Linked DNA regions of Stegostoma tigrinum. The protein of the gene in region 3 purifies or fractionates together with the protein of the main gene of each other region. This does not show direct contact. Links are inferred from orthologs where the notes say so. Each region holds a gene or a part of one and is shown on either strand. Other genes may lie near its edges. The genes, in order: growth arrest and DNA damage-inducible protein GADD45 beta-like, growth arrest and DNA damage-inducible protein GADD45 alpha-like and map3k4.

What was found.
Region 1: the proteins of map3k4 (region 3) and growth arrest and DNA damage-inducible protein GADD45 beta-like purify together in Homo sapiens (co-immunoprecipitation; 3 studies listed by BioGRID and IntAct, counting the BioPlex papers as one, with this or other methods). This does not show direct contact. The link is inferred for Stegostoma tigrinum from reciprocal best matches to the Homo sapiens genes MAP3K4 and GADD45B.
Region 2: the proteins of map3k4 (region 3) and growth arrest and DNA damage-inducible protein GADD45 alpha-like purify together in Homo sapiens (co-immunoprecipitation; 3 studies listed by BioGRID and IntAct, with this or other methods). This does not show direct contact. The link is inferred for Stegostoma tigrinum from reciprocal best matches to the Homo sapiens genes MAP3K4 and GADD45A.

Annotation. Positions count from the first base shown.
Region 1 is NC_081383.1:7,331,429-7,339,731, forward strand, and holds growth arrest and DNA damage-inducible protein GADD45 beta-like, read left to right. Parts: upstream 1-4,770; 5' UTR 4,771-4,953; coding exon 4,954-4,997; intron 4,998-5,155; coding exon 5,156-5,257; intron 5,258-5,409; coding exon 5,410-5,623; intron 5,624-5,957; coding exon 5,958-6,071; 3' UTR 6,072-6,950; downstream 6,951-8,303.
Region 2 is NC_081361.1:51,755,753-51,763,473, forward strand, and holds growth arrest and DNA damage-inducible protein GADD45 alpha-like, read left to right. Parts: upstream 1-4,839; 5' UTR 4,840-4,971; coding exon 4,972-5,012; intron 5,013-5,313; coding exon 5,314-5,415; intron 5,416-5,507; coding exon 5,508-5,721; intron 5,722-5,809; exon of another isoform or gene 5,810-6,094; intron 6,095-6,153; coding exon 6,154-6,264; 3' UTR 6,265-6,921; downstream 6,922-7,721. UniProt on the Homo sapiens protein: In T-cells, functions as a regulator of p38 MAPKs by inhibiting p88 phosphorylation and activity.
Region 3 is NC_081362.1:25,393,413-25,401,958, forward strand, and holds the start of map3k4 (mitogen-activated protein kinase kinase kinase 4), read right to left. Parts: upstream 3,280-8,546; 5' UTR 3,050-3,279; coding exon 3,012-3,049; exon of another isoform or gene 2,850-3,011; intron 2,784-2,849; exon of another isoform or gene 2,669-2,783; intron 1-2,668. UniProt on the Homo sapiens protein: Component of a protein kinase signal transduction cascade. Activates the CSBP2, P38 and JNK MAPK pathways, but not the ERK pathway. Specifically phosphorylates and activates MAP2K4 and MAP2K6.

The DNA.
Region 1 (8,303 bases), on a different chromosome or scaffold from region 3:
CTGATGCAGTTTGATACCAACAGCATGAGTTCAATTCCTGTACTGGCTGTGGTTACAATGAAGGATTGTCTTCTCAACTTTCACCTTCCTGAAATATGGTGATCTTCACCAGTCATCTCTATCTAATGTGAGAGTAGGACTATAGCAACATCACCTTTTACTTTAGTGCCATGTTGGCAAAGGCCAACAGATGCAAAGTAAAAGAAAGATCCACAACTTTCCCCCCGCAGTGGTCGAGAACGCCCTTGACCGCGTCTCCCGCATTTCCCACAACACATCCCTCACACCCCGCCCCCGCCACTACCACTCCCAGAGAATCCCCCTCATTCTCACATACCACCCCACCAACCTCCGGATACAACGTATCATCCTCCGACACTTCCGCCATCTACAATCCGAACCCACCACCCAAGACATTTTTCCATCCCCACCCTTGTCTGCCTTCCGGAGAGAGCACTCTCTCCGCTACTCCCTTGTCCGCTCCACACTCCCCTCCAACCCCACCACACCCGGCACCTTCCCCTGCAACCGCAGGAAGTGCTACACTTGCCCCCACACCTCCTCCCTCACCCCTATCCCAGGCCCCAAGGTGACCTTCCATATCAAACAGATGTTCACCTGCACATCTGCCAATGTGGTATATTGTATCCATTGCACCCGGTGTGGCTTCCTCTACATTGGGGAAACCAAGCGGAGGCTTGGGGACCGCTTTGCAGAACACCTCCGCTCGGTTCACAACACACAACTGCACCTCCCAGTCGCAAACCATTTCAACTCCCCCTCCCATTCTTTAGATGACATGTCCATCATGGGCCTCCTGCAGTACCACAATGATGCCACGCGAAGGTTGCAGGAACAGCAACTCATATTCCGCTTGGGAACCCTGCACCCCAATGGTATCAATGTGGACTTCACAAGCTTCAAAATCTCCCCTTTCCCCACTGCATCCCAAAACCAGCCCAGTTCTTCCCCTCCCCCCACTGCACCACACAACCAAGCCAGCTCATCCCCTCCCCCCACCGCATCCCAAAACCAGTCTAACCTGTCTCTACTTCCCTAACCTGTTCTTCCTCTCACCCATCCTTTACTCCCACCTCAAGCCGAACCTCCATTTCCTACCTACCACCTCATCCCGCCTCCTTGACCTGTCCATCTTCCCTGGACTGACCTATCCCCTCCCTACCTCCTCACCTATACTCTCCTCTCTACCTATCTTGTTTTCTCTCCATCTTTGGTCCGCCTCCCCCTCTCTCCCTATTTATTCCAGAACCCTCACCCCATCCCCCTCTCTGATGAAGGGTCTAGGCCCGAAACGTCAGCTTTTGTGCTCCTGAGATGCTACTTGGCCTGCTGTGTTCATCCAGCTCCACACTTTGTTATCTTGGATTCTCCAGCATCTGCAGTTCCCATTATCACTGAGTTCTTAGCAGTGCACTTTATGAAGGATATGACCGCATTGGAGATTGTGGGTAGAAAAGATTCAGGAGGATGGTTCTAAGAATACATAAATTCAGTGGTGAAAACTGATTGGAGAGGTTGGTTCAGTTTTCCTAAAAGACTGAGAGGAGATTTGATAGAGGTATTGAAAATCATGAGGGTTTGAGACACTGCAAACAGAGAGAAGTTGTTCCCACTGAAGAAATGAAAGAGAATAAAAGATTTAAAATAATTAGCAAAGAATCAAAAGTGACATGAAGGTCTTCTTCAAACAGTTAAGCTGGAATTTATTGCCTGAGAATGAGGTAGAAGCATTCAAAAATGAATAAGACTGTAATCTGAAAAAGAAGAAACACAAGGTTACAGCGAGATGACCAAAGAATAACACTACGGGAATCACTTGTTTGGATAGCCGAGTAGACATAATGGGCCTAATAGCTTCCTTCAACACAGTAAAATTACGTGAATCTTCGATGGCTGCGTTATCGTGAACATTACCACCAGGTGGAGCAGTGAGGGCACACCCTCAGGAACCCGACATTGCAGTGTGACATTCTGAACCAATGATGGAGAGGTACATTATCAATGTGTTTTGTGTTTATATGGCAATAACTGATGAAAGAAAGAATCGTTTTGAAGCTTCTACCTGGACTGATAAATTACAGAACAAATTGGATAAAGAGGTGAAAGATGAAAGTGGAAGAGAGGGCCCACTCCAATCGGTTAACATGATGTGCAGGTCCCGGTGTTGGACTGGGATGGAGAAGGTCAGAAGTCACATGACACCAGGTTTTCGTCCGACAGCTTTATTTCAAGTTTTCTGGCTTCTTCGTCACTTCACCTGATAGATATTTTTAATCAACTTGTTCAGACATGTTCTGACATGTTATCGACACACTTTTGGAGCAGGTCAGATCTGAACTCTTTTGGCTCAGATAACAAAATGTGAGGCTGGATGAACACAGCAGGCCAAGCAGCATCTCAGGAGCACAAAAGCTGACGTTTCGGGCCTAGACCCTTCATCAGAGAGTGGGATGGGGTGAGGGTTCTGGAATAAATAGGGAGAGAGGGGGAGGCGGACCGAAGATGGAGAGAAAAGAAGATAGGTGGAGAGGAGAGTATAGGTGGGGAGATAGGGAGGGGATAGGTCAGTCCAGGGAAGACGGACAAGTCAAGGAGGTGGGATGAGGTTATTAGGTAGGAGATGGAGGTGCGGCTTGAGGTGGGAGGAAGGGATGGGTGAGAGGAAGAACAGGTTATGGAGGCAGAGACAGGTTGGACTGGTTTTGGGATGCAGTGGGTGGAGGGGAAGAGCTGGGCTGGTTGTGTGGTGCAGTGGGGGGAGGGGACGAACAGGGCTGGTTTTGGGATGCGGTGGGGGAAGGGGAGATTTTGAAGCTCAGAGTTGGAGAACTACCACTACATCACTAGAGTCCTCCCTTCATTGACAAAGTATCTTTCATCACCTGTGGACCTCTCAAATCAGTTTACAACCAATGAAGTACTTATGAAGCGTAATCACCGTTGTAATGTAGGAAGCATTAACTTTTGAAATGTTGCATTTCAAGTCATCGTTACTTTAAGTATATTCATTTATTTTGAAACCTTATAATGTGAATTGGTCTTCGAACTGGCAAAACGCTGCCCCTAAATAACATGTGTGAAGCTGGATGAACTCGTCAGCTTTTGTGCTCCTGAGATGCTGCTTGGCCTGCTGTGTTCATCCAGCTTCACACTGTTGTCTTGGATTCTCCAGCATCTGCAGTTCACATTATCTCTGCCCCTAAATAACATGATGTTGGAAAGTTACAATTTGTATGGTGCAAGTTATTCGTTTTCCTTCAGTTGAACGCCAGGTGGAACCAGTGAACTCATGTCAGAGGGAGTAGCAGGCAACAAGCTCGCCAGACGGCGCCCTTTGATTAGTTTTAAGGTTGCCCATTGTACGTATATTTATTTCTGATTTTGTTTACAAGCTGTGTTCGTTTTTCTTAACGACTTTCGGGGTGTGGAGAGGCCAAGGAAGGTGCATTGTTTGGAATTCCAACCATTTCTGAGGTTGTCTGTAATTTCACAAAGCACCAATCCTATGAGTTTCAACATGTTAACATACGACTGAACGTTACATGTGAACATACCAGATCTCTGCAAATGAATAGATTCGAAGAATAGATACAGTCACGAATACAACGAAGATGTTGATTGCATCTAATTTTCCAACAAATTTAGTGGCAGATATGTTTTTCCTTAATCACAGACTGCCCTAGGTGCCAAAGGATACCCGTAAACAATCAGGCTCATTGCAAAACTTCCCAGAAACGAAGGCTACGGCTGTACACAGTGACTTTGCAAAGCATTTCCTAATTTTCCCGTTTATTTTATATCTGTTCACTTTTGGAAAGTGCATTTAGCTGCTGCAGATAAATTATTGCTTGTGTAGTATATGATTTGTTTATGCGCTCGGCGGTTGGCAGGCGGAGTTTCCACTCAACTGGAAAACTTGTTACGTACGCGAAATATTCCCCGTCGGAAACTAGAGAGAAGAGAAACAGATTCTATTTCCAACTGGTTCTATTTGCTTTTAATCTCGGACTGAGTGTACTATTAAGAAGTAAAGTACATTTAGTTATGTTTTGAAATTTAGAACAGCGAAGCATATTACATTTCCTGGTGCACCAACCAGGGCAGTTTATAACAGCCGTTACACAAGATTTAATATTTAGTGTCACCTGCAATCCACACTCGAAACCTGCAAGACAGTGTGCTGCACAAAACTTCAGATTTTGATCTCGCTCAATAAAATGACATTCTTAAAAATGCAAATTGATGCAAACTTATGAAGCTTGTTAATGTCTCAACCTTTTTCGCCAAGAGCTTGCAATTAACTTCGAACAATTTGAGGCAATTATGACAATTTGCAGACAAGATGTTTTAGCTCAAATATTAAATGCAAAAAAAAGTTTTGAATTGCATTAAGTTGGCGATGAATGCGGCTGTGTGACTAATAAATAGTATCAGGGCTCTTGGATGGGAACTACCAGACAGCTCAGCATTATCATTATCTAATTTTACATTGCAACTGTGTGGTTTTATTCTAGAAGATTCATTCCAATACGGACACGACTGGCAGCTTCATAATGCCTTGTAGCACGCGAAACTGAGTCATCGAGAGGGAGAAAAAAATACGAAGGGAGAGAAACAAGAAAATTCCCAGAAAATACGCCATCTGGGCTCCCCTGTGGAGGACGTTTAATATTAATCGCCGGTCGGAAGAGCCAATCGCGAGAGCCGTATGCAGATGAGCCGGTGGGCGGCATGTAACCTTTTAAAAGCAGTGAACGCCGCCGAAGAGTCGCAGAACGAAGCAGAGAATAGAGTGCAGTGTCGTTTGAATGCGGATCTCGAGCTTTGGAGGATTGTTACAGTCAGTGGTAGAACGTTACAGCGAAGGAGACTTATCACTGGAGTCTTGAACCCGAGGGCTGTGTTTTTTACCTTGGATTTAATTACAACAACATGACTCTGGAAGATATTACTGGAACTGACAACACTAGCAAAAAGTAAGTTGCTAGAAAATCGATCGTTTGTAGTTGGTCTTAATGAGATCAAGCGGAAAGGATCGCGTATAGATAATCTATATCCGTAGGTTATGTAGTTTGCAGACTCTATTTTTTAAAATGAATATGTTGTAAGTATATATATTTTCATCTCTATCCAGAATGCAGCCAATTGATCAAGCTTTAGAAAAATTGTTGGTGACAGCACAACGCCAGGGCTACCTAACTGTTGGGGTTTACGAGTCGGCGAAGTTAATGAATGTGTAAGTATTGAACGGTTTTTTTTAACCTTCATAACAACTGGAACTAGTTGCGAACAACAACTTAAAAACTGCGATTTAGCATCCATTGACTTTCAGATTTTTGTTGTGCATCGTGATTCTAATCGCCCGTTCTACTCCTGTCCCATATGCAGTGACCCGGACAGTGTAGTCCTGTGTCTGCTGGCGGCCGATGAGGAAGATGAAGGCGACATCGCCTTGCAGATCCATTTCACCCTGATCCAGGCTTTCTGCTGCGAGAACGACATAAACATCGTGCGGTTGCGGGGAGTCAAGCGCTTGGAAGAACTTCTGGAGTCTGGGGACGAGACTGCTGAACCCCGGGACATGCACTGCATGCTAGTTACGGTAAGAATAGCCTGTTTCTTCCCTCCATCCCCGAGCTACAGTGCGCTGCAAAAATCTACGGTGTAGACACTATTAATATCTCTCCGACTTAAACATTGTAATAGTAAATAACTTGTGCATCCGAGATCTCTAACGGCATCAATCCGGATCAGATTGCTAATCTTTCTTCAAATTGTTACAATGGTATTTAGTCGATTCTGGCATTTCAGGGGTTAATCTTGCAATTTGTCGTAAAACGAAACGACAGCGTTTGGGCGGGTACAACTGACTGGAATTGACGTGCTGTTGTCGCTGACGCGATGTTTAATCGGGTTTTTTTTCGTTCTATTTCCAGAACTCTCATACTGATGTTTGGAAATGTGAGGCGTTGGAGGAAGTCGGAAGCTATTGCGAGGAAAGTAGAAACAAGAACCAGTGGGTTCCTACCGTGTCCCTGCAAGAACGCTGAAGGTTTCAAACCAGCTGAAGAAAAGGAAGCTGAGAAGAAGCGTCTTTAATTAAATGAGAAATGTATGCCGTTTTCTTCTACAAAAAGATGCGGGTGGATGAGGAAAAATCATGTTTGCAAAGGCATTTTTTTGTTTTATTTTTTAAAAAGAGAGAAAAGGTAAAGAAGACGGCATACCCGGCGGAAACTTGGCTGTTTTTTAGAGCGGCGAGTGGATTGCAATCCGCTCCCGGAACCGAGAAGACAGCTGCAGAGGAGGAGCTGGACTGGAGGTGTCGAAACCCGATTTGGAAATGGAATGAAGGAGAGATTTTCGAAGCAGGGCTCTTTTGTATCTAGATTTTTTTTGATAATAGACTGGACTGATGCAGAAAGTGGAAGAAAGGATCTGTGAAGACTAGAGTACAACAGGACTATAATCCTGGTGTGGAGGATAGATGGACGGTTTTGTTTTAAACAGTGGTTGGCCGGCCGGCCTCGCCCCCTCTCCATGACTGATGGAGTCTTTTATCCGCGTCCTACTGCAGGCGGAACGTGCGAGCTTGCACTGGAACTGCATTTTGGAGCTGTTTGCATTTCTTAAAGGGAGCTAGCTCCCCCCCACACGAGTTACCTGTACTGTTTCCTTTGTACACCAAGGGGATTTGCAGCAAATGTTAATTGGACTGTTGCACTTAGCTTCAATACTGGGATGTTTTGCATAGAACCCCAATGTTATGTAACGGGCATCGTGCAATTTAATTCTAAACTATTGATCTGAAATGTAGTATTTTTCAGCGTCTTATTTATAACGTTGTGATTTCCTCTCTTTTTTCTTGATTTATGTAAAAAAACCTCATTTCTATTACATTACAATAAATATTTTAACATTTAAAAGTATATACTCGTCTGACTTTTTTCTCCTTGTCATAACATCCACTGCTTTGGAGAAGTGGGATGAAATACTTGATTTTTTTTCTTAATAGTTGGCAGCAAACAACACTTTGAAAAGCTAATTAACAGCTCAGGATTGTACATGCCTGGTTTAGAGTTTGATCATCAAAAAAAAACACCAAGCTTTTACTGTTTCAGTCTGCCGTTTGACCTTTGGATACGCAAAATTAATCAGATTTTCACTTTTAGCCATGTCAAGAAAATTACAACTGTAGTTTTGGCAATGGAGGCCAGATTTTTGTCAAAGCTGCTCTGTTTGATTCAAAATTTAAATCAATGACTTAACTGCAGCTTCACACCTTCCTGCAAAGTGAATTAATGGCTTCATTTTGTAGACCATTTTAATTCCAGTTATAACTTTCCCAATGCACTCCTGATTGGAGTTGTGGGCTTCTTGGTGTTTCAATATATAGACAAGAATCCTGTAGTTTAAAGGTGGTGGGAACAGCTAATTCATCAAGACACCTTCATGTAAATGTATTTGCTTTTGAATTGACAAAGCAGATGTATTGGACTTCAATGATTCCTGTGTTCAGCCAACTCCCAATGGGAAGCTAAACTATAATGTATTAATGTTACAATTTGGATGTGGAATTGGTGATGGTGTTTGGGACTCTCAACAAATAACAGCCTTCTCAAGGAGGTACTCATGATGCAAAGCTGGCTCCAAGGTATTTTCAAATTGTAGCAGAAAAAAAGCAGTCACTAAAATATCACTTCTGTACAGTTGTTTTGACTGTGAAAATAAAACTGATGGTGAGCAATTTTTCTGATGAGCAATGCAGAGCCAGGAGTAAATGTTAAGTATGTTGCTCTACTGTTTTGAAAATCTTTGGGTCACAGTCCAAGTACCTGTGAATATAGATGTGTTTTCCTGCATGATAATTGTTAACTTATTCAAAGAGTCAATCTTTTAAATTGACAGTGTTCAAAATACATTTTGTGGAACTTGGCAGAAATTCTATTGGTCAGAGAAAATTCAGTGTAAGAGTGCAACCTTGCAAACTTCAGATTTTCCTCTGAACTACCAGTCCCAGTTGGCAGGATCAGTGAGGAATAATATTTTTCAGCCCTGTGATCGGGGCTCATGATAACAGAGGTCCCCAACTCAGATGTCACCCAATGTATCTTCTTTACAAACTGCAGGGGTGCCAACAATAGTGGCTGTCTGCATTGACATAGTGGAAAAGCCATGATCATATAAAATGGAGTAGGGCTGAATGGTCTACTGGTATGTTTCAAACCAACAATCAAATATTGCTTTAGAATTGCAAAGTCTCCAGATAGTTCAATGGGCCA
Region 2 (7,721 bases), on a different chromosome or scaffold from region 3:
ATATCAGTATAGATACAAAATTGGCCCTAACAGGGCTGTCTAACCTGATTAATATTTTGTTTAAGAGAGTAGACCCAAAATAGAAGAGCTCCTGTAGCACAGTGGTAATGCCCCAACCTCTGGGCCTGAAGGTCTATATTCAGTCCCTACCAGTTTCAAATGTGTGTCACAGATGAGCAAGTTGATTGAATGTTATCGAGATATGGAATAGGAAACAGAAGGTAATCATAGAATCACAGAATCTCTAGCGTGTGGTAGCAAGCCATTCAGCCCATCAAAGTCACACCACCCTCTAAAGAACATCTCATCCAAACTCTGCCCACCACCCTATCCCTGTAAGATAACACAGCAGGAAAGCAGCATCTCAGGAGCACAAAAGCTGACATTTCCGGCCTAGGCCCTTCATCAGAAAAGGGGGATGGGGTGAGGGTTCTGGAATAAGTAGGGAACAAGGGGGAGCAGACTGAAGATAGATAGAGGAGAGGATAGGTGCAGAGGAGAGTACGGGTGGGGAGGTAGGGAGGGGACAGGTCAGTCCGGGGAGGACGGACAGGTCAACGGGGCGAGATGAGGTTAGTAGGTAGGAAATGGAGGTGTGGCTTGAGATGGGAGGAGGTTATAGGTGAGAGGAAGAACAGGTTAGGCAGGCGGAGATGAGCTGGGCTGGTTTTAGGATGCAGTGGGGGGAGGGGAGATTTTTGAAGCTGGTGAAATCCACATTGATACCATTGGGCTGCAGGGTTCCCTAGTGGAAAATGAGTTGCTGTTTCTGCAACCTACAGGTGGCATCATTATGGCACTGCAGGAGGCCCAGGATGGACATGTCGTCTAAGGAATGGGAAGGGGAGCTGAAATGGTTCGCGACTGGGAGGTGCAGTTGTTTTCTGCGAACCGAGCGTAGGTGTTCTGCAAAGCGGTCCCCAAGCCTCCGCTTGGTTTCCCCAATGTAGAGGAAGCCACACCGGGTACAGTGGAGACAATGTACCACATTGGCAGATGTGCAGGTGAACCTCTGCTTGATATGGAAAGTCATCTTGGGGCCTGGGATGGGATTGAGGGAGGTGGTGTGGGTGCAGGTGTAGCACTTCCTGTGGTTGCAGGGGAAAATGCCAGGTGTGGTGGGATTGGAGGGGAGTGTGGAGCGGACAAGGGAGTTGCGGAGAGAGTGGTCTCTCCAGAGGGCAGCCAAGGGTGGGGTGGGAAAAATGCCTTTGGTGGTGGGGTCGGATTGTAGATGGCGGAAGTGTCAGAGGATGATGCGTTGTATGCGGAAGTTGGTGAGGTGGTATGTGAGGACTAGGGGGATTCTCTTTGGGTGGTTATTACGAGGGCAGGGTGTGAGAGACGAGGTGCGGGATATGCAGGAGACACGGTCGAGGGCGTTCTCGAGCACTGCAGGGGTAAGTAGAGGCCTTTGAAGAACGAGGACATCTGGGATGAGCGGGAGTGAAATGCCTCATCCTGGGAGCAGATGCGGCGAAGGCGAAGGAATGGGGAACAGGGGATGGAATTTTTGCAGGGAAGTGGGTGGGAGGAGGTGTATTCCAGGTAGCTATGGGAGTCAGTGGGCTTGAAATGGACATCAATTTGTAGGTGGTTGCCATCCCTGTAACCCTGCATTTCCCATGGCTAATCCACCCAGTCTGAAAATCCATGGACACGATCAGCAAATTAGCATGGCCAATCCACCTAAAATAAATGGCGGTATTTTAGATTGAAATGAGGTATACAGTACTTTTCCAAAGATTCTGTATTTAAGGTCACTATTTTGTTAATATTTATTAGTGACTTTGATTTAAAGTTATAGCATGTAACTTTGAAATTTGAAAATGTCACAAAACTTAGAAGAATTATAAATGTTAAGATAATAGTAGAATTCAATGGGATAGACTTGTGACAGATACAATTCAATGCAGAAAGCAATGAGATGATACATTATGGTCGAAAAAATGAGAAGAGAGATGCTAAATAGCACAATTAAATGGATATGTTAGCAGAGAGAGACCCGGAAACTAATTCGATTGGCTGGAAGGTCTGTAATCAAAGGGTACAGACTTAGGATGATTGACAAAAATTCGGAGGCAACATGAGGAAACATTTCTTTGCACAATTGATTTGGATTTGAATTACATTGATGTTAGAGTGATGGATACAGAGTCAATAGTGGACTGACAAAGGAGCAGCATACTGAAAATTTGTAATTGAAAATAAGCCTGTTGGGCCATAACTTGTTGTCGTGAAACTTCTGACTTTGTCCACCCCAGTCCACATGGGCACCTGCCCATCGTGTCTCAATTTACATTGCTAAAACAGATCATTTGTTCATTAATTGCACTGCTATTAATGAGACATTCATGAGTGCAGTTTGGCTGCTGCAATACCCGACATTGCGCCTAGGTTGCGCTCCAAAATGCTTTGGCACATTCTGATTTGATGGAAAAGATGAAACCTGAATGCATGCTCCTTTGTAAAATGAACTGATTAGGCTTGTACTTATTACTTTACGTGGAGTAGAATTGATAATGAAATTTTAATATATTGCAATAATTGAATATGCATTATTTGTAACTGATATTTGTATTACAGCTCTACACCTGTACTGAGATGATTATGCAGACTTGAAATATATATGCTCACATTCTTGTCAACAGTTACATATGTTCTTAAAATATGCTCTTGAAACAGCAGTGATACAGGCAGGAACATGTTTAATTTCCACATTACTGACCCTGGTGGTCAGTCTGCTTGATGATAATGACACTGAGTGTTCCAATCAGGGCACAACGAGTGAAGAGAGATAATGGGAACTGCAGATGCTGGAGAATCCAAGATAATAAAGTGTGAAGCTGGATGAACACAGCAGGCCAAGCAGCATCTCAGGAGCACAAAAGCTGACGTTTCGGGCCGAGACCCTTCATCAGAGAGGGGGATGGGGTGAGGGTTCTGGAATAAATAGGGAGAGAGGGGGAGGTGGATCGAAGATTGAGAAAAGAAGATAGGTGGAGAGGAGAGTATAGGTGGGTAGGTAGGGAGGGGATAAGTCAGTCCAGGGAAGACGGACAGGTCAAGGAGGTGGGATGAGGTTAATTGGTAGGAAACAGAGGTGCGGCTTGGGGTGGGAGGAAGGGATGGGTGAGAGGAAGAACAGGTTAGGGAGGCAGAGACAGGCTGGACTGGTTTTGGGATGCAGTAGGGGGAGGGGATGAGCTGCGCTGGTTGTGTGATGCAGTGAGGGGAGGGGACGAGCTGGGCTGGTTTTGGGATGCAGTGGGGCAGGGGGAGATTTTGAAGCTGATGAAGTCCACATTGATACCATTGGGCTGCAAGGTTCCCAAGCGGAATATGAGTTGCTGTTCCTGCAACCTTCGGGTGGCATCATTGTGGCACTGCAGGAGGCCCATGATGGACATGTCATCTAAAGAATGAGAGGGGGAGTTGAAATGGTTAGCGACTGGGAGGTGCAGTTGTTTACTGTGAACCGAGCGGAGGTCCCCAAGCCTCCGCTTGGTTTCCCCAATGTAGAGGAAGCCACACCGGGTACAATGGATACAGTATACCACATTGGCAGATGTGCAGGTGAACCTCTGCTTAATATGGAAAGTCATCTTAGGGCCTGGGATAGGGGTGAGGGAGGAGGTGTGGGGGCAAGTGTAGCATTTCCTGCGGTTGCAGGGGAAGGTGCTGGGTGTGGTGGGGTTGGAGGGCAGTGTGGAGCTAACAAGGGAGTCACGGAGAGAGTGGTCTCTCCAGAAAGCAGACAAGGGTGGGGATGGAAAAATGTCTTGGGTGGTGGTGTCAGATTGTAGATGGCGGAGGTGTCGGAGGATGATGCGTCGTATACGGAGGTTGGTGGGGTGGTGTGTGAGAACGAGGGGGATCCTCTTTGGGCGGTTGTGGCAGGGGCGGGGTGTGAGGGATGTGTTGCGGGAAATGCGGGAGACGTGGTCAAGGGCGTTCTCGACCACTGTGGGGGGAAAGTTGCGGCTCTTGAAGAACTTGGACGTCTGGGATGTGCGGGAGTGGAATGCCTCATCGTGAGAGCAGATGCGGCGGAGGCGGAGGAATTGGGAATAGGGGATGGAATTTTTGCAGGAGGGTGGGTGGGAGGAGGTGTATCCTAGGTAGCTGTGGGAGTCAGTGGGCTTGAAATGGACATCAGTTACAAGCTGATTGCCTGAGATGGAGACGACGAGTGAAGCTTGTGTTTACTTGGTGTCTTTCACAACCTTAGAATGTCCCAAGTGTTTTACAGTCAACTGACTACATTTAAAGCGTAGGAAATTCCAAGATATTGAACCAGCAATGATGAAGGAATGACTATCAACGCGCAATTACAGATGACGTGATTTGGAACTGAATGTGGAAGTGTTGGCGTTCCCTTAACATTGTTGCCCTTGTCCTTGGTGATAGACGTTGCAGTGGAGGTTTGTTTACTGTATCTACACATAGTGGACTTTTTTTTAAATATCACGTTTGACGTTAAACAAAGAATTAAGGCTTTTGCTTCTATGAATAATTTCGTCGGGCAATCCTACAATTTCCAAACATGGATACCGAAATGAGGAATGAGCATTGATTGATGTGTCGACCGCCCCAGTGAGCTGCGAGACAGACACGCTTCGGTATCCGCTCCAACCCTCCCCCCCACCACAAAACCCACCTCCCCCAGGGCTGACCCTTTGTCCCCAGCGGGTCAGGGTGAAAGCAAAGTCCTTATTAGCATAAAGGACAACGACCAATGGCGGAGCGCCCATGCAAATAAGCGAGCACTGGGTTGGTTGGCTTTCCCTTGTTACATCCGGCCCCCTGGCTGTAACTCCGCCTTCAACGCCGCGAGCCTTCTCAGTGCCGGAGCTGACAGCAGCCGCTGCATTGAGCTGGATCGAGCCCACTAGCGCACGCAAGGCACTGTCAATTGCAGGCAGAGAAAGCTGTAGCAACCTGAGAAACTCATTCACACCGACAAACAGAATGACTTTTGAAGAACTTACAGGCGATCAGAAAGCAGACAGGTAAAAGCAATGCTATAAAGCGCACCGATTGCACTTTAAATAAACCCTATCTTTTTTTTAAAAAGTGAAACAGTGTTTGATTGAGCGTGCGGTGCAGATTCTTGGTTTGCGTTGTGCGTCGGTTAAAAGAAGTTTAATCTTCCTGTCATAGTAGAATTTTTTGTGAGATGAAGCACATACATTTGCATTCATTTGACACAACCATAACGCAGAATTGTTAATCTCTGGAGTTAGATCCTGTTGTTGTTATTGATGAAGGAATTAATACTGTTTTTTTTAAAACTTCTGATGCGGGTGGTAGGATGGACGTAGTGAGAAAAGCTTTGGAAGAAGTTTTGAGCTCCGCGCTGGCGCAAGGCTGCATCACAGTTGGAGTGTACGAAGCAGCAAAACTCCTCAACGCGTAAGTATCCACCAAGAACCAAAGTTTTCACATTTTTACTTTTTAAAAAATCAGTTTAAAAACGGACGGATTTTATTTATACTTTTCGACAGGGACCCTGACAACGTTGTTTTATGCTTGCTTGCGACGGATGAAGGGGATGATCTGGATGTGGCTTTACAAATTCATTTTACTCTGATCCAAGCTTTTTGCTGCGAAAACGATATTAACATAATGAGAGTGAACAACATGCACCGTCTAGCAGAGATCTTGGGCGGGATTGATGGGGCAGGCGAACCCAAAGATCTCCATTGCATATTGATCACTGTAAGTATTATACTAGTCACACCAGGAACGAATCCAATAACCGAGGCGTAAAACCGTCATCAGTTTTAAACAATGACAGAAATCTTACCTTTGTGAGGATTTAAATAAAGTTATTTGTAGACAGTATGAAACGAGTTACAGACGGTGACTGAAATCAGTCTAGGTTATTGCAAGTTGACAATTGGACCCCTAGAAGCAGACGAAACTGTATATACCGATACTCAACTGATTGTTGTGATTGGATGTAAATGTGGTCGTGGTTGACGTAATGTCTTTTTGCACCAATAGATGGCATAAGTTAGAGAATAGCTAACATCATGATTTGAGATTACAAGTACAGTATTTTGGAAAGAAGGGGGCGGTGAGAATTAAATGATGCACTTTTTAAAATATTTTGTTCCATAAGGATGATTTTATTTGTCTTCAATTCAGAGTCAAGTTGCACCATGGAAAGACGCAGCGTTGAGCAAAGTCAGCTGTTTCTGCAAAGAAAGTCGTTACTTGGACCAGTGGGTTCCAATCATCAACCTGCCCGAGCGGTGATCAATTTTAAATCACAGACCCTGGATTTAAGATTCGCTTTTGTTTCTCAGGAATTGCTCAGGAGATATTCTCAGTAGCTGTCCGAAAACTTGGCGCTGGAAAATTAGAGTTTTTATTTGTTGCTGAGAGCAGGCTAGACTGGACTTTCGATTGTCTGTAATTATTTTCTCTGAACGCTGGACTATGACTCAACTTGAGTTGTGCCTGGAAATAGTGACAATGACTAAGCAGACGGGAACCGAAGCAAGGGTTGGAACTGATTTCATAGCTGAGAGTAATAGAACTGCCGGAAGAATTGCGGGAATTACAGCTTCCATTTCGGGAACTAGAACTTTAAAAAAAAACTTGTGTTTTGACAGACTCATCGAATGGATAACAGAAGTGTTTGAATTTTGTTGTGAAAATGCAGTATTGCTGACTAATTACACGATGTCACGGAGCTGAGGGGAAGTTTAAAAAACCAAAACCGAATAAGTTAAGGATTTTTACTGTACTTACTTACAAAATTGTACTTTATTACAAAAACCTTTTTTGCTGTTTTGTCTAAATATGAAATGACAAGTTATTTCACAATTTATATAAATTGACGATTATTTATATTTGTGAAAGAATTGACTATAATTTCTAAATCCATTAATAAATATTATTACTTTTATTCACTAGCTATTTAATGTTCTAGTCTGTTATAGATAATTTTAATTTGTATATTACTGAATTGTTTTAATTGGAAACAGTTTGCAATACAATACAATGGAATTGCCAATGGACTGATTTCAGCCTGTTTAATTGGGGTATATTGTCAGTATTTTAAGTCACATTTTATTCCTTCTGTCAGTTTGTACAGATGAGCAGTGTTAAAATTGCACCAGTGCTCTTGACAGGTGAGTTCAGAACTCAGCCGAACTTGTGATCAAAACAAAATGCAGTAACATATCAGTGCAGTAGTTTATTATTTAGTGACTATTTTGGCAATTTGATATCCTACTACACATATACAACACACAACATCCAACAGCTATACATCCTGAATATTTCCTACTATTGTCAAGATTGCAAATAATTGTAACAGCAATTGCATGTTCAACTTAGTCTATGAGAGTTAACTGACTGTGCTCAATTGTAGCAACTCCTCTTCCAGTTTTACAAAGAACCACTGGAATAGAGATGGAAAAAAAAAATCAGCCTGTGTCTTCATTTTGATCATTGAGTAACCACCACTGGAATTGCTTGTGTCTAGGTCAGTTGAGGATAAAAATATGCTTAGTGTTCAAATGGCATTTTTGGAGAGGAAAGTACAATTCACATTTCAGATTAATTATCTTTCATCAGAACCCTGACAAAAGATCACCAATCTGAACAAATGTATCTATGGCTTTCCATTGAAACTGCATGGCCAGAATGTTTCTAGGATTTTCCAATGCAGAATTTTCCAACTATTATTCCCTTCTTCATGCCCA
Region 3 (8,546 bases):
AAGCAGGGCAGGGAGATCTTTAGTCGGTAATCTACTGTGATCTGATTATGCTTCCAGCTAGTACAATTTCAGTCCGTCTGCATCAAACTACATTTCCCAAACTCCAGTCTAACAACAACTTGTATTTCTAAGGCACTTCATGAGAATCTCATGGAACACAATTTTACAGATATAACAGAACAAGTGACTAAAAGCCTGGTCAGTGTTAAGTTTAAACACAAATCTTACAAGCTCAGCAGTAAACAGAGATGGAGTGTGTAGAGAATCAATTCAAAATCTGAGCCCACAGTGGTTGAAGGAACAGCCATAACTGTTGGGGGCACATGAAAATCAGGAACAAAAATAAAACCAGAACTGAAGGAGAGCAAACATCTCAAAAGGATGTAGAAAACATTAATCAGAGAGTCACTCCACCCCTCAAGCCTGCGACAGTCAGTAAAATAAAGGATTATTGACCTGATTACTGCACATTCCAGTCTAAACTTTTTACCCTTTGCATATTAAATATCTACATTTGCTTTAAATATATTCAGTCTCTTTCCACAAAAAAAGTGGAGGCAGAGTTCCAAGGATTCAAGACACACTGAGAAAAGAAATTCTCATGGTTTAAATGGGCAACCCCGTCTTTCGAAATAGTGACCCCTAGTTCTAGATTCTAAAACGTGTATCCCACATTCTCCATGTCAAGACGCCTCAGGATCTCATATGTTTCAGTCAGTTGAAAGAGTTTAGCGCCATCGCGGTGTAAGGATTTGACGAGAGGGAAAATGTTAGATTGAGGCCTTCACGGAAGGGGAGCCAATGGAGTTTAGAGGATGCTCGAACAGGACTCAACGGAAGCTAAGATGAAGGACGCAAGCAAGGGAAGCATTTTAATACTTTAATACTTAAGGTAACAAGGACATGATGAGCGTTTCAGCAGAGGGCCTTGTTGAGGGAAGCAGCTGTGGGGTTGGGAACTCAGCTCAGGATGAGAGGAGACACGAAGTGGTTCAGCCTCAAACAGAAAAAGACGGACTCAGCCACAGAAGAGTCTGTGGCAGGGAGTGAAGACAATGACTCCAGTCTTGAGAAAAAAAAACGGAAAATTCTACGTATCTAGAATTTGGGCAGAGTTACAAAAGTTGTCACTTTGATGAGTTACCGCTCACCAATTACACCCATCTCACTCTTCCAGGGCAGAAGTTAATTTCAGGGCAAGTCCTGGGAAGATTTATTTCAACATTGTGTTACTTGAGAAAACTAATCGATTAGAAATAATTTGGCCTTTCGCGTGCTAACAATTGGTCAGAAATGTTAGAGTCATAACGCATCATGCTAATCACAAGCCTCGCTGCACCGCAAATTTCAGTCATCCTCAATTCCAGAATAAACATATAGCACATTACTTAGACGTACTAAATTGCAAACGAAACGGCCGCACCCTAGAAAAACAAAATATTCCGGAAAATGTAGCGCTGCCCTTAAAGTACATTCAAACCGCAGCTTGAAAAACTCCGCCATCCGATCGGCACAACAGCTCTCCTGAATTTGCTATTCAAGTTTCCAGACAAACAAGGATAGCAGCAAAGTGAGCTAATCATACTGCAAAAAGGTACTTTCACATTAATTCATTCTGTAAGGAAAATCATTCCCAGATTCTGTTCTCAATCGGCATTACATTTGTCGCAAACTCCCACTCAAAAATTCAATTTAGAATTTTATTCCCAGAATTTACGTTACTAGGTGATTTCTCAACAAACGAGCAACCCACACAACGTCCACAAAATACCCAATCTGCCTTTCTTTTCAACTCCGTCGACTCCAGTGAACAGGAGATTACGGTTCTTGCATGTAAAAGCCCTAAAGATTTGGATAATTTCGTACATCCCACCGTCGTGCTGTTTATTTGAAACCATCCCCGCAATGAAGTTGTTTACTGCTGTATTAGATGCTCCACGGTGGGGGTAAATGTTTCAAAACAACCCTGGTACACAAAAGAGCCCAATAGACATTCAGGTCGCTGTCTAGCTTTTGGGATGAAAGAAAACTACTACAAATGTTAAAGGTTACCAATTAAGGCTTTTAACTCAAGGTGGAAAAACAAAAATATTTTCCATGCACCCAGTCCTGTGTAACTCAGAATTAGGCGGGCAAAAGGGCTCTGGTTCGGAAAGCTTTAAAATCTTAGCATGGCTTCGCAGTTCTAGAGACGGTTTTCTGTGAAGAGGGGGTGGAGGGATCTGCCGGACTTTCTCCAGTTAAGAAACTCCGATACAGTTCCAAATCAGCCATAAGTTCACTCTGCAAGTAGAGTCTGTAACTATTCTTCAAACGGTTATTTTTGGGTGCTGATAAACCCCAAACATTGTCATAAAAAGAACTGCATTCGTACATTTTCGGGCACATTGTGCGTGACTTGATGCACCTTTCGCTAAACTCCTTTGTTATCAGTGGACCGAGGAGAATTCATTAAGTATTGTAACACTTCCACTACCAACCAGCTCAATGATTTAGATGTCTTCCTGGAACTACGGCATAGCTGTTGCAGAGCATTTAGTTCTATGCACTAATTTCGTTTCTTGTTTCACTGCAGAATCCCACCACCATTGTCATTGTATTTTCCCAAACGAAACTCGCTTACTTGCCACAATTTTCTGCGATTAACTAAAACTTATACCGATAATACCTGTATGCATTGGTGACCTCGTTCACTTTTCTACACAATGCAAAAAGTTAAAATTATGTTGCACAGAGTTTTCCCCCTTTTCACGGTGCAAATTAAAAGCTGCAGAATTTTTGCCCTCTGTGCAGAATGTGGCAGGAAGCACTGAGGGTCGCTGTGCGCAAGCGCGGGGGCTGCGGTCCAACGTTAAGTGTGAAAGCACTATTTGGCAGAAGCTGCTTGCGGCCCAGTCTGCAGCCCTGCACATACCCCTCCCGTCTCGATTGACTCTCGAAACCCCTTTCGCTTAAATGTACACAAAACACTTGGCCCTTCTTGTTCCCCGCTAATCATCGCTCCCTTTTACCTTTGCATTTGAGGCGGCTGCAGCTCGGACTGTTCCATATCGGTAGTCTAGTGATACAAAGTGCACGCCATGACGCGTTATTGTTGCTGTCGTCTTCAAAACATAGAAAGGCTGCAAGTTTTTTTTTAATTGGAGGCCGGAGGCGGGGGAGAGAAATAAATGCTGGAAGTCCGCCCAGTGGTTGCGAGCTGTAAGGACCGAGTCATCAGCCAACACTGAGGCGCCTTTCTGCTACCGGGGCGGCCATCTTGGGACCGGTATGTGGTAACTACGGCAACCGGCTACGGCCGGCAGAGGGCAGCAGAACGGACAGACAACAACTGAAAACACACTGCCTCCAGGTGTGCGCAAGTCTTTATTTTCATTTTCCATTGTCCTGACCTGAAGTATACCAACTCTAATATATAAATTCACTGAAATTATTTGAGTGGGAAGTAACAGATCAACGGTTTTCTTTTCCAGAAAAATAAAACGAATCGGCTGCCTACTTTTTCCAACCGTCATGAGTTGTTTTTATGTAAATCGCCTCAAGAAGGGAAGCTTCCGCCGTTTCAAAAATCAAAGTAATTAACCTCCCAAGAAGTGTGGCTGGACTCGAAACGTTAATTTTACGTCCCTCTCACCACAGAGGTTCCTAGATCTGCTGAGTTTTCCCAGCAATTTTTGTCATTTATTTCATGTAAGTTCCAGACGAAGGGGTTATGATTCATAAATGAATTGATTTGTATGGAAGGGGTTGGGGGGGGGGCGGTGTTTGCTGGTGGAGAGCAATCCTCCTCTATATGGTAATTGGTGTCACTGTGTCAGGCTCTGCTGGTCATTCAGACACCAACTTGTGAGAAAGAACCAGCTGCAGCTTTTTGCTGCCAAGTGCGACGGTTACAGCCACTCGTATACAACCTGAGTGAAATACATGTTACTATCCTCCCGTACAATGAAAGCTGCGCAATTTTGTTTTCACTTAGCTCTGAATGAGGGAGAATACGGTGTTGCTAGAAAAGTCTGGTAGTACAAAATAAATATGTAATTAACAGGATGGGTTATGATGCAAAGTGAAGTCATTCAGCTGTACGACACTCCCTCCCTTCTATAGAGCTGCATTTTAAAAAAATCTTTAGGTGCCTATTCAATTTCGTTTTGACATCCCTGACAGTATCAGCTCCCAATTTTCTTTCTTGAGCTAGCTACTTCTGGTGCTGTGGCCTTGACTGTGCTCCAGATCAACTATTATTCTCATCAGTATTCTGATTTGAATACTGTTTGGAAAGCAAGATGCAGTCTGCCCTCTGGTCCTACTCGATCGCCTGACCATTCCTTCTTTGCCTGTCCACCCAAGCTACAGGATGGTGATATTCCAGCAACATACAATCCAACTTCACAGATGTACTGCAGAGAAATAAGCTGCTGCTCAAGCTCTGAAACCCCAGAGCTTGAGCTGCTTCAGCTGACCACACTTCTTGAAGATGTGTTCATCCAATCATAGAGTCAGAGATGTACAGCACAGAAACAGAGCCGTTGGTCCCACTCGTCCATGCTGAGCAGATATCCTAAATAAATCTAGTCTCATTGCCAGCATTTGGCCATTATCCCACTAAACCCTTCCTATTCATGTACCCATCCAGATGCTTTTTAAATGTTGTAATCATACCAGCCTCTAACACTTCCTCTGGCATCTCATTCTATACCCTGAGGAATATCCCAGATTTTGCACATGAAACAAGAATGCATTAAATGGACTGAGGTGTCCAACCATATCAATGTAGACTAACTGAACCTAATAGAAATAAACTTAAAACTTATTAAAGACTTGTACAAAAGAAGGTTGCCAGATACTAATTTATCTGCTCTTTATCACCAAATAACGAAATTAGAGAAAAAAAATCGGGGAGATTGGATATATTTGTGGCCACTCTCATGGAATCCCTAAAGTGTAGGAAGAGTTCATTCGGCCCAGTGAGTCTGCACTGACCTTCCAAAGAGCATTCTTTCCCCTCGATTTAAACTGACTAATCCACCTAGGATGCTGCCAATGGTGCAACTTAGCATGGCCAATCCCCTAATCTGCATGTCCTTGGACTGTGGGCGGAAACCAGAGCACCCGGCAGAAACCCATGCAGACAAGAGGAGGACATGCAAACTCCATACAAATAATCACCCAAAGCTGGACTCAAACCCAGGTTCCTGGTGCTGTGAGACAGCAGTGCTTAACCACTTTACAACCATGCTGCCCTCATCCATCGTCGATTCATCCTTCCTGTGAAGGAATGATCATTTTGAAGCAGAGCCATACAGTTTTGTTTAGACTTTTGTGTTTTTCTCAGTCTATGGCTCCAGGAACAGAAACTCCCATGTGGTCAGTTCTGGAGAAGAAAAGCATCCTTATGGAACATTTCATTGCTGTCTGAAAACTTTTGGATTTAAAGTAACTGAAAATGCATTGTCCTGTTGACACTCATGTAAGCAATGTGATGGGCACGTTCGAAAAAAGTTGAGAGATAACTAGGAAAATGCAGGCCTGTTAATAAGTATGCAAAGTATGAAGTTTTGAAAGCAGCAAACTCAAAGTAGAGAATTGAAACAAAATTAAATGAAAATGGATAATCACAGCCATGTCTTTAAATGTTAAAATGAAGCTTAACAAATGATTCATGATAGATCTAATTCATGGAGGCTTATCCAGCTCTATCTCACCACCAACTGTATCAAGCCCTCTCTATTGTCACATTGCACATTCACCATTCACTCCTGGATGAATAGCAATTTCCTTCAGTAAAAGATGAGAAGCCCAAAGCCAATGTTTTTCAGACCCTTCAACAAGCTCCATGCCTTGCTGGAGAGCAGAAATTAGCTGGGTTGGGCAACCATAAATGTTCAAGAATTGATCATTATTGTAAGGAAGATTTATTTTGCTACAGATAAGAATATAATAATTTCACCATTGTAAGGAGGCATTGTCTACAATAACAAAACCAAATGTTTACCTTTCATAGCCTCTTGACTTAGACTATACAATGCAGTTGCTAGATTCTCTGGACAAAGACGTCAATGTCTGCTATTTTTCTTTTGTCTCTCCACAGGTGTTATATCGTGAATCAGCAATAAACCGGTTGAATGCTGAAACAGGCTTAAGGGGCTAAATTCCCTATGTCTGTCCCAATGTTCCTAAAGCCGACATATTACTGTAATAAAAGCATAGTACTGCAGATGCTGGAAATCTCAAACAACAGAGAATGTTGGAGAACCTTGGCATGTCTGGTAGCATCCACAAGAGAAACAAAATTAACGTAGAGTCTTCAGAACAATTCACATTTATTAATATAAATTGTTTCTTGTTGTTCATTTAGATGTAACAACCCACAATCCCAAGCCAAATAACCAAACCAATTAGCAGGCTTGATTTTAACCCTATCTGCTTGCTCAACATAACCATCCTTTTGAATATTTAACTTGTAGGGTAATGTGGGAAATATAGCAGCCCATTTATACACATCATCTCCCAAAGACAGTAATGCAATAATGAGTAGGTAATCTGTTTTTTGTGATGATGACTGAGGGATAAATATTGACCTGGATCTACAAAAACACAAAATTGGCATAGAAGTAGACCATTCATCACCTCAGCATTTCATTTCTCATTCATCAGTCTGTTCTTCCTCATTTTCAGAAGAGAGCACAGAATATCTGGGAGAGGCAGAAAATCAGGCATGTGTGTACAGTTAATTCCATCTTGACAGCTCTAGAGGAGGAGAAGATATTGTTAATAAGTCAACTCCCAGCATTGCTGATCATAGGATATGAAGAGGGGAGGGTTTCCAAGTTACCTGGTGACAGAATTATACATTACACTGCTACATGGCAACAACATTCACTCACTCATTGACTAAGATAACAGCCAGTCACCTTGTCAGTTCTGATTCAAGTTTTCCATCTCTCACAGAATGGAACGCTTTGCCTGCAACGGTAATAGATTCGCCAGCTTTAGGTACATTTAAGTCATCATTGGATAAGCATATGGACATACATGGAATAGTGTAGGTTAGATGGGCTTCAGATTGGTATGACAGGTCGGCAACATTGAGGGCCGAAGGCCCTGTACTGTGCTGTAATGTTCTATGTTCTATTTACTCAGGAGGAGATACTTCACACTATTTATGAACCATAGTGCAATGTATGCACCTTCTGTCAGCTCTTGTACACACTACTTGGTGCAATCAAAGTTAATTGGTTTAACAGAGGATGAATCAACACAACAGATGAGTGGAACAGATGGTGAAGATGTATTTAACAATGGAGGTTCCTGTCAGAGCGCAGCCTTGTCCAAATTCTGCTCTGTGTAGAATAGACCCCTCTCATAGACAGCTTGGGATGCAAATGCTGTCTCAAGCCAGCAATGAGGAGGACGACTGTTCTGAACAGCAGCATTAAATGTTTGAGGTTCTGCCAGGTTTTGCAGAAGCCCCGCACAGGACTGGAGAAAAATAGAAGTCAATCTCCATATCCCAGTAGGCCATGAGTTCTAATTCATGCACAGAGCAGCAGCATGACAGATTTCACTTGATCTGCTGATCTTTTTGTCCAGTAAAGAATCTGGTCATAAAGGGAACAATGCACCTGCATTGTGGAAACTGATATAACAAAGGGACCATAGGACTGAGGAGCATGCAAAAGGAAGTCGGGGACCCATTTATTTGGCCAGACGAAGTTAAAGGGGAAGGCTTTTGCTACCTTCAGGCTGCTAATCATTCAGAAACTTAGGAGTTGTGGGAGGTAGCCTAATGTGCAGTTGTTAGCAGTCTCCAGGCAGTTAGGACTTGGAAGAGGTGTTGAGGAGCTAAGAAGATAGTGGAAAGCCACAGAGCCTGTGTTGGAGAGAGAGGAGCAACAAAAGAAGGTGGCTTCAAAAGGTTAAAGTGCTGCAGTTGGTTTTGTTGAGCGGGCAGCTCATTGAAGCTGCATGGGAAATTCGATAGCTGAGAAGAGAGCAAAGGAAACCAATGAGCAGTACTTGCTGAAAAATTGAGGTTTGGAGAAACATGGGATCAGTGCCGACTTACCAAAGCAAGCTGCCTGAAAAGGAGATAGTAGGAACTGCCAGTGCTGGAGAATCAGAAATGATTTCTGAACAAGGGTCCAGATCTGAAATGTCAGCTTGCCTGTTGTTCTGATGCTGCCTGGCCTGCTGTGTTGATCCAGCTCTACACCTTGTTATCTTTGCTTGAAAAAGAGCTGGAACTGTGCAATCGGTAAGCGCTGGAGTTCAGCCCAAGAATCCAAGGGAGCATAATCCTAGCAAAAGAGATTGAGTTGTCAAGAAATAAGCAGTTGTTAAGACAGACCAAGTTGTTAAGTCAGATCATGTAGAGTAGCATTGAGGAACTTTCTAGGCTAGATCTTTGGAAATGAAGACCTAAAATCCCTAGTGAAGGAGACAGTCTTAATTGGTGGTGCATGGTGTCACTGGCATGTGGGTGGATTCCTGAGAAATCCATGGGATTTGCTTTGACTGTAACAGCTATTTGTTAAGCTATCGAGCAG